2 linked regions of the Daphnia pulex genome follow. The main gene of each other region encodes a partner of the protein of the gene in region 2 in a complex. Links are inferred from orthologs where the notes say so. Each region holds a gene or a part of one and is shown on either strand. Other genes may lie near its edges.

What was found. The genes of interacting proteins can lie anywhere in the genome.
Region 1: eukaryotic translation initiation factor 3 subunit G-like (region 2) and eukaryotic translation initiation factor 3 subunit K-like share a complex: the UniProt entries of both Caenorhabditis elegans proteins name them as parts of the eukaryotic translation initiation factor 3 (eIF-3) complex. The link is inferred for Daphnia pulex from reciprocal best matches to the Caenorhabditis elegans genes eif-3.G and eif-3.K.

Annotation. Positions count from the first base shown.
Region 1 is NC_060028.1:2,216,469-2,219,705, reverse strand, and holds eukaryotic translation initiation factor 3 subunit K-like, read left to right. Parts: upstream 1-1,517; 5' UTR 1,518-1,626; coding exon 1,627-1,679; intron 1,680-1,769; coding exon 1,770-1,989; intron 1,990-2,050; coding exon 2,051-2,270; intron 2,271-2,346; coding exon 2,347-2,504; 3' UTR 2,505-2,626; downstream 2,627-3,237. Other genes in the region: uncharacterized protein LOC124209413, read left to right, coding at 1-869; acylphosphatase-2-like, read right to left, coding at 2,849-2,963. UniProt on the Caenorhabditis elegans protein: Component of the eukaryotic translation initiation factor 3 (eIF-3) complex, which is involved in protein synthesis of a specialized repertoire of mRNAs and, together with other initiation factors, stimulates binding of mRNA and methionyl-tRNAi to the 40S ribosome.
Region 2 is NC_060023.1:11,177,131-11,180,686, forward strand, and holds eukaryotic translation initiation factor 3 subunit G-like, read right to left. Parts: upstream 2,350-3,556; 5' UTR 2,233-2,349; coding exon 2,213-2,232; intron 2,146-2,212; coding exon 2,105-2,145; intron 2,038-2,104; coding exon 1,799-2,037; intron 1,734-1,798; coding exon 1,566-1,733; intron 1,500-1,565; coding exon 1,349-1,499; intron 1,338-1,348; exon of another isoform or gene 1,229-1,337; coding exon 1,116-1,228; exon of another isoform or gene 1,046-1,115; coding exon 915-1,045; exon of another isoform or gene 756-914; coding exon 737-755; 3' UTR 654-736; downstream 1-653. Other genes in the region: flocculation protein FLO11-like, read left to right, coding at 1-252, 329-517; tRNA (guanine-N(7)-)-methyltransferase-like, read left to right, coding at 2,464-2,540, 2,609-2,727, 2,792-2,945, 3,009-3,153, 3,234-3,335, 3,395-3,532. UniProt on the Caenorhabditis elegans protein: RNA-binding component of the eukaryotic translation initiation factor 3 (eIF-3) complex, which is involved in protein synthesis of a specialized repertoire of mRNAs and, together with other initiation factors, stimulates binding of mRNA and methionyl-tRNAi to the 40S ribosome.

The sequences.
Region 1 (3,237 bases), on a different chromosome or scaffold from region 2:
CTCAAAATGCTGCAGATCAAGGGCTACCTATTCCTAAATACGCGTTGCTTGCCCTATATATTTTGAAAAATACAGTATACAAAGCTGGTAGTCTTGAAAAATCGGTGCTCCTCTGTCCTTACATTACAAAAGTGGACATGACATTGATGTGTGATGGAATCGTAAAAGACGCGGATCTCGTTAGTTTACTTTCCCTTAAAAGCCTCTACATCCTTGAAATCGATCAAAGAAAGCCTTTAAACTTTAATGAAGTTACTTTTAGATATTCTGGAGGTATCACTTTTGAAGGAGGAGTTCTTCCCCTTCTCAAAAAATTTGGGAATTCCTTGACAAAATTAGAACTTGACGTTTTCTTCCTTGACTTAGACATTTTAACCATAATGCAATTTTGCCACAAGCTTCAATACCTTTGCCTTCATATGCGCAGCAAATTTGATCGTTGGCCTAAAGAAGAAGAACAAAAATCGGGAAATAAAAGGGAAATTCCTATCTTAAAACATCTGGAAGAATTGATGTTATGTTCTGATGATTCGCTTCATTCCTTTGTCCCCGCAGAAATTGTGTTAATCTTATTGTCTTCTCCGTTACTATCATTCATTTCCATAAAACTTTTGAATAACCTAACTGACAAAATCATACGAAAAGCAACGCATGTCAATTCCTTTCGTCATCTTGAGAGATTGTGGTTAACTCACTGTAACGAAGTAACTAAATACGGTGTGAACCTTTTTTTACAACAGAATATCCCTCTAAAGAAACTGATTTTGGAACGTTGCGATAAGATAACGTTTGAAGATTCCATCGAATGGGAAGAAACTTTGACCAAGAACAATTGGGAACTTGAATTAGAAATACGTCACCCTTACTAATTATTAGTTAAAAAAATAAAAAGGTACAATGTAATACATTTTTTATGATAAAACCACTCAATTACCGCCGGTAATTAGCCTAATATCGGTAATTTACCGGTACTGTTTTTTTTTAATTATTCTTGAGTAACAACACGAGGAAATCTCATATGTTCTCTCTCGGTATCTTATAAAGGTGGCATTTTGATGTTTGCTCGGAATTCCTCGGGGAAATAGGGTTCATAGAGCATGTTTGAGCAACCATTATTAAAATTAGTTACTGATGGCAGCAAGTAACAGTTATTAGTTTTTATTTTTTGTCGTCTTTTTTAATCATTTGAATTTTGACCATCGCCTAATCTGCTAAGTGCTAAGTGTACCGTGAAAATATCTTCTGTCAAAGATTTTTCAAAGATTTAAATGTCAGCTACATCTTCAACTTTTAAAATTGGCGGAAATTCGAATCACTTTCATTGGTTGAAAGAAGCTCCACAGCTCCACCCGCTCCACCTACCAAGGAGCGGAGTTATTTTCCGACTGAGGGGTTTATGAGGGTTTTCGCCCTAAATTATAGCTCAAAAAAAAATCGTTCTATTTGTTTCATTCTCGACTTTTATCGCAGAGTGAAAATGGAAAGTTTCCACTCCTTCACTTAGCTGATAATGCTTTAAATGGCAACAGAGCCTCTTAGGCCGAAAGCGTCTGCTAAAGCCACATTTCCGTCATCCGTCAAAGTCTAGTTACTGATTGTTAACAATTTCAATAACAGTTCATTATAATGGCCGAAAAGATGAAAACAGAAATCGCTTCTATGCTACAAGGAATTGAAAGGTAAGAGAAAATAATCTGAAAAAGTTAACCCCATCTGCATAGTTGAGGAACACTGTAATGAACAATGGCGGTTTGTTCTCTTATTTCTAGGTACAATCCCGACAATCTTCAGAAGCTAGAACGCTATGTTGAACTGCAAGCACAAGAAAATATGTATGACCTAGAGGCCAACCTAAGTGTGTTGCGATTGTACCAATTTGGCCCAAATTTCTACCGCAGTAACATTGTTAATCTGATCCTACTGAAGGCAATGACCAATTTACCTCACACAGACTTCTTGCTGTGCAAATGCCTTTTGACTCAAGATAGGGTATGTAATATGATTGTTTAATCTAATATATTTAATAGGAATTAATTTTTTTACTTTTCAGTTGGAAGAACCTCAAGTGAGCAGAGTAATGGTCCTAGCTGATTTGCTGGAAACGTGCAAATTCAAGCAGTTTTGGGAGGAATTGGCCAAATGTGGTGACCTAATTATTACTGTTCAAGGATTTGAAGATGCTATTAGGAAGTTTGTTGCTCATGTTGTCAACATTACCTATCAAACTATTGAAGTTCCGGTATTAAAAGAACTTCTTGGCAATGTCAACGGTAATGGCAATATTATCCATGTATTCCCTCTTAACATGGTTTTCGACATTTTAATTTTAAAAACCTCTCTTTTCAGATCAAGTTTTGAAACAATGGGTCGGGAAGTGCAGCTGGAAGGACCTGGGCAACGGCCGTGTGTTCATCACGTCGCAAGAAGATTTGGTCAAGACCAAAAACATCACTGAGAAGATCGAATTTGAAAACGTGGCTGGAATCATGTCACACTGCATTTAAAAGTGAAACTGTCTTTGACCGATCTGCAAACAGGAAGAAAGAAAAACCAACAAACAAACAATTCCAAGGGCAGTGTATTTCTGTTTTGTAACAGCTTCATATACACAATTGTCATGTTTGAATTTGATGATCGTTAAACCACCCAAGCAGTGAATCCCATCGCCGTATTTACACCCGGAATCTGTTTTCCTCTCAAGCAGCATCTAATTAAAAGTTCTGAAATTCGATTCTGCTTTGGCCGATATGGTGTGGGCATGTGCCTCTACATTGACAAGTGAATTGGTGGATGTTTTAAATGATTAGCGGGACATTGAAAAAACAAAGAAAAACCATTTTCATTCGCTTCAAAAACGGATGCTGAATCCGCGGAACTCGGGCCGTGCAAGGTATTCCCAATTGCGAAGCTCGGTGTGGTCGATCTTGCATCCGGGGCTACCTGTCCTCGTCAGCCATTGTGCCCTGTGGAGGAAAAAGGTTTGGAACAACAATTTTAATTATTTCTAGTAGTAGAACTCGTTAAACACACAGACGAATCCGCTTTGGCACCGAGCGCATGACGGGTCAGGAAGATTCTAAAAGTAGCTTGTTTCTCCTCGCTCTACAGAGGACGAGCCCAGCATAGTTAAGGTATTTAACGACGTGTCCTGCCCAAACCATGACTCGTGTGCCTTATCTAGAACCTCGAATGGGCTCGATGCCAATCGTCATTTCGTCGTTTAAATCGTTCGGAGCT
Region 2 (3,556 bases):
GCCCACTTCACCAATCCCACAGCCATGCTCATTTTCAACTTATGCTCTACTGCGCTCGGCTCGATGACTCTCTGTGTTGCTGGGCAGACGGACGCCACTATTTTGTACGTCGGTTCGGCCTTGGTTGGCGTAGGAATGGCTTCAACCTTCGCAACAGGCTTCATATGGACCGAAACACACCTGCTGGTAACTAACCGGATTTCTGCGGCTTTCTCAGTTGCTTCTTCAATGGGAGAGATGATATTCCCAACGGTACGTTAAATTTAAATGCTAATGATTTCCACTACGTATTTATAACCCGTCTGTTTTGTTTACCGTGTTGATACAGGTAACAGGCGCATTGATCGAGTCGAATCCACTTTCCCTGATGTACATAGTTCTAGGATGCACCATTTTTATCACGACAGTCTTTTTTGTAGCCTGGTACCTGGCAAAACGTAAAGGACGAGGCTTTAGCAGTAACAGCAGGGGCTATCATCTTGCACGTCAAGCCGAGGATGAATCAGCGCAAAACTAGATAACTTTACTTTTTTTTCACTTAAAAATAATGTTTAGGTGAGGTAATCCTCATTCCCTTGATGTTTAGCTTAGAAAGACAAAAGAGAAAGGTGAAAATTCGGTTCATGTCTGTGATAGAGGGTTGAAGAGCTTGATTGGAATCCATTTGCGTGTATTTTTTTTATCCCTTTACATGATCGTAGCATCCAATATTTGATGAAGGAATTTTAGGCTTTTTTCACTGTGTTCCCGATGGTCTGTTAAACGATTGAAAAGAGAAAGATCAGTTTCATTTGACTCGTCAATTTAAAGAACTAAATTGTTAAAAAATAAAATTTTAAAAATTCCAGTCATGAATTTCAAATTCAGCTCACAACTATTTTGAATGAAATTAAGTGAATTGAGAGCTAACTTACTTAGACCATTCGACAGTCAGGATAAGATGGTCGTAACCAAAACCATTCAAGGTCTTGATAGCTCGTTCGGCGTCTTCTCGTCGTTTGTAGCTGACAAATGCAAAACCTCTGGATTGGCCAGTGTTTTTGTCCTAAAATTCAGTTTGAAGCGGTGCCATAATTTTTACAAAATGATAATTAGTGAATAAATTTGAGTCTAACCTTTGAGAGGAAGATGCGTGAGATTTCGCCAATACGGCCGAACAATTCTTGAAGATCGGAATCGCGAGCGTTTTCCGAGAGGTTGGTTACTCGTACAGTGCACCCTTCATCAGCTGTTATCGGGAAAGAAAAGGGTAATCATTAAATAATGTTTTTCCTATGTATGTTTTCTATTACTTCTCCGGTGGTTTTAATAATATGAAATAAACTACTATGAAGAAACTGTATCTTACTTCGTCGACCCATAGCCATAGTCTCTCCTTTTCTGTTGCCACCATCACGAAGTGCAGGTGCAATATAGGCGCTTCCTTCTTTACCACCCTTGGCTTGCGGTCCTCCAGCAGCAGCTGCGGCAGGAGGCGGGCCGGCCTTCTTCTCCTCAGCCTTAATTAAAGAGATATAGAGCAAAATTAGCAAGAGTTCAATTCAAAATAAAGAAAATGTGTTTACCTTATTGAGTGCTTCTTGGACAGGCAAAAGTGTGTCCTTGTAAGGACACTGTGTTGTCCAATGGTCCTCTTTACAGATACGACACTTAACAATGCCCTTCTGCATGCTTTTTAACTTCATAAGAGGGTCATCTTCCTTGTTATCAGGATCCTCTTTGTTCGTAATAAACTGTCAAAGTAAAAATGGTAATTAGCATCCAACGGTTTTGATAGATCAACTGAGAAAAGAAATACCTGCATGGCTACATCTTCAGATACAATTGTTGTTGCAGGGTTTGGTCCTGGTTTATCTTCCTTGGAAAGACCAAATTTTGGCCAACTTTTACGCTGGGCAATGGCTTTAGCTACATACCTTTTCTCTATTTTGTAAGTACGCACCACCTTGAACTTCCTGTTATCATCATCAAGACCATACTCTGTGACAATTTTCAGCCCATTTTTGTATTCTTCAGTGTTAGGGGGTAAACCGAGACCTAAGGAATAATACCGGCATGATTAAAGAAAATCTTACATTAATTACGGGGAAGCGGCATTACTAACCATCGATATCCTCAACGTCATCGGCCCAACTGGATTTAACTCTGAAATCATATCAAGATTGTGTTGTATTTTTAATATTTGCACATTAATTTGTCTCATTTCACTTACTCATTATCAGCAACCGGCATTTTTCTTGGAGAAGATTGATTACGTCAAGTAAATAATCAAAAAGTAGAAAATTCACTGCTATTGCAGAAATGTGTCAGCAAGCAGCCATTAGAACGTGTGTAGAGCGACATTGCCAGTTTTGAAAAATTCATTTCGTAATTTTGACTGCTTTTACAATTTCGTCTGCTCTTCTTCGAATACAATCCCGCCGTTTATGAGATTCCGGCACGTGGAACTCGAATACAGCAAAAATGGCTAGCTTACCACAGAAAAAATATTATCGACAAAGAGCACACTCCAATCCTATCGCAGATCACTGTTTTGACTAGTGAGTATCTTATTTCCAGTTTTCGATTTATCATTAAGTCATTTTCTAACCCAATTTGTCGTTTGAAGTCCTGTCTCTCCCAATGACATGAAATGGGATGAGCTCTATCCTACATTCAGCAAAGATGGAATAATGAAACACAAAGTTCAGTTTGCTGATATTGGATGTGGCTATGGCGGTTTATTGAGTATTTTTATCACATTTTGCCAATAAAATATGTGGAAAATTAATTTTGTATTTTTTTTTAACAGTATCATTATCCACCATGTTCCCAGAGACTTTAATGTTAGGAATGGAGATTCGTTTGAAAGTTTCAGAATATGTCCAGGATCGCATAAAGGCGTTGAGGATTTTGCATCCAGGTGATTACGGAAATGTTGCCTGCTTAAGAAGCAATGCCATGAAGTACTTACATTTATTTTGTTCATTTACTTGGGCATGTTTGCTTAATTTATTCTATGCTACTAGGTACCTCCCTTGCTTTTTCGATAAAGGACAATTGACAAAAATGTTTTTCCTCTTCCCTGATCCTCATTTTAAGAAGGCCAAACACAAGTGGCGTATTATCAATGACACTCTCTTGGCTGAATATGCCTATGTTTTGGCTGAAGGGGTAAGTAGGCAGGCCTAGAACGGCCCTTCTTTAGCTACTTGATGTAGATATCTTGTGTGATTAATTAAATTTTACTTTAGGGTTTGGTTTACACAATTACTGATGTTAAAGATCTTCATGAATGGATGGTTATGCATCTAGACCAACATCCATTATTTAAGAGACTAACCCAGGAAGAGCTGGTTAGTTATACTTTATAATTAAATAGCTATAAAACTACAAATTCTTTTTGCGGTATCAGGATCAAGACATTGTAGTTCCAAAACTGTACGAATCAACGGAGGAGGGCAAAAAAGTCACGCGAAATAGTGGTGATAAATTTCTTGCTGTATTCAGAAGAATTCCTGATCCATTCGTACTTGAAGAAAACAAGTGCTAATGTATACAAATTTGTTTGCCGGTT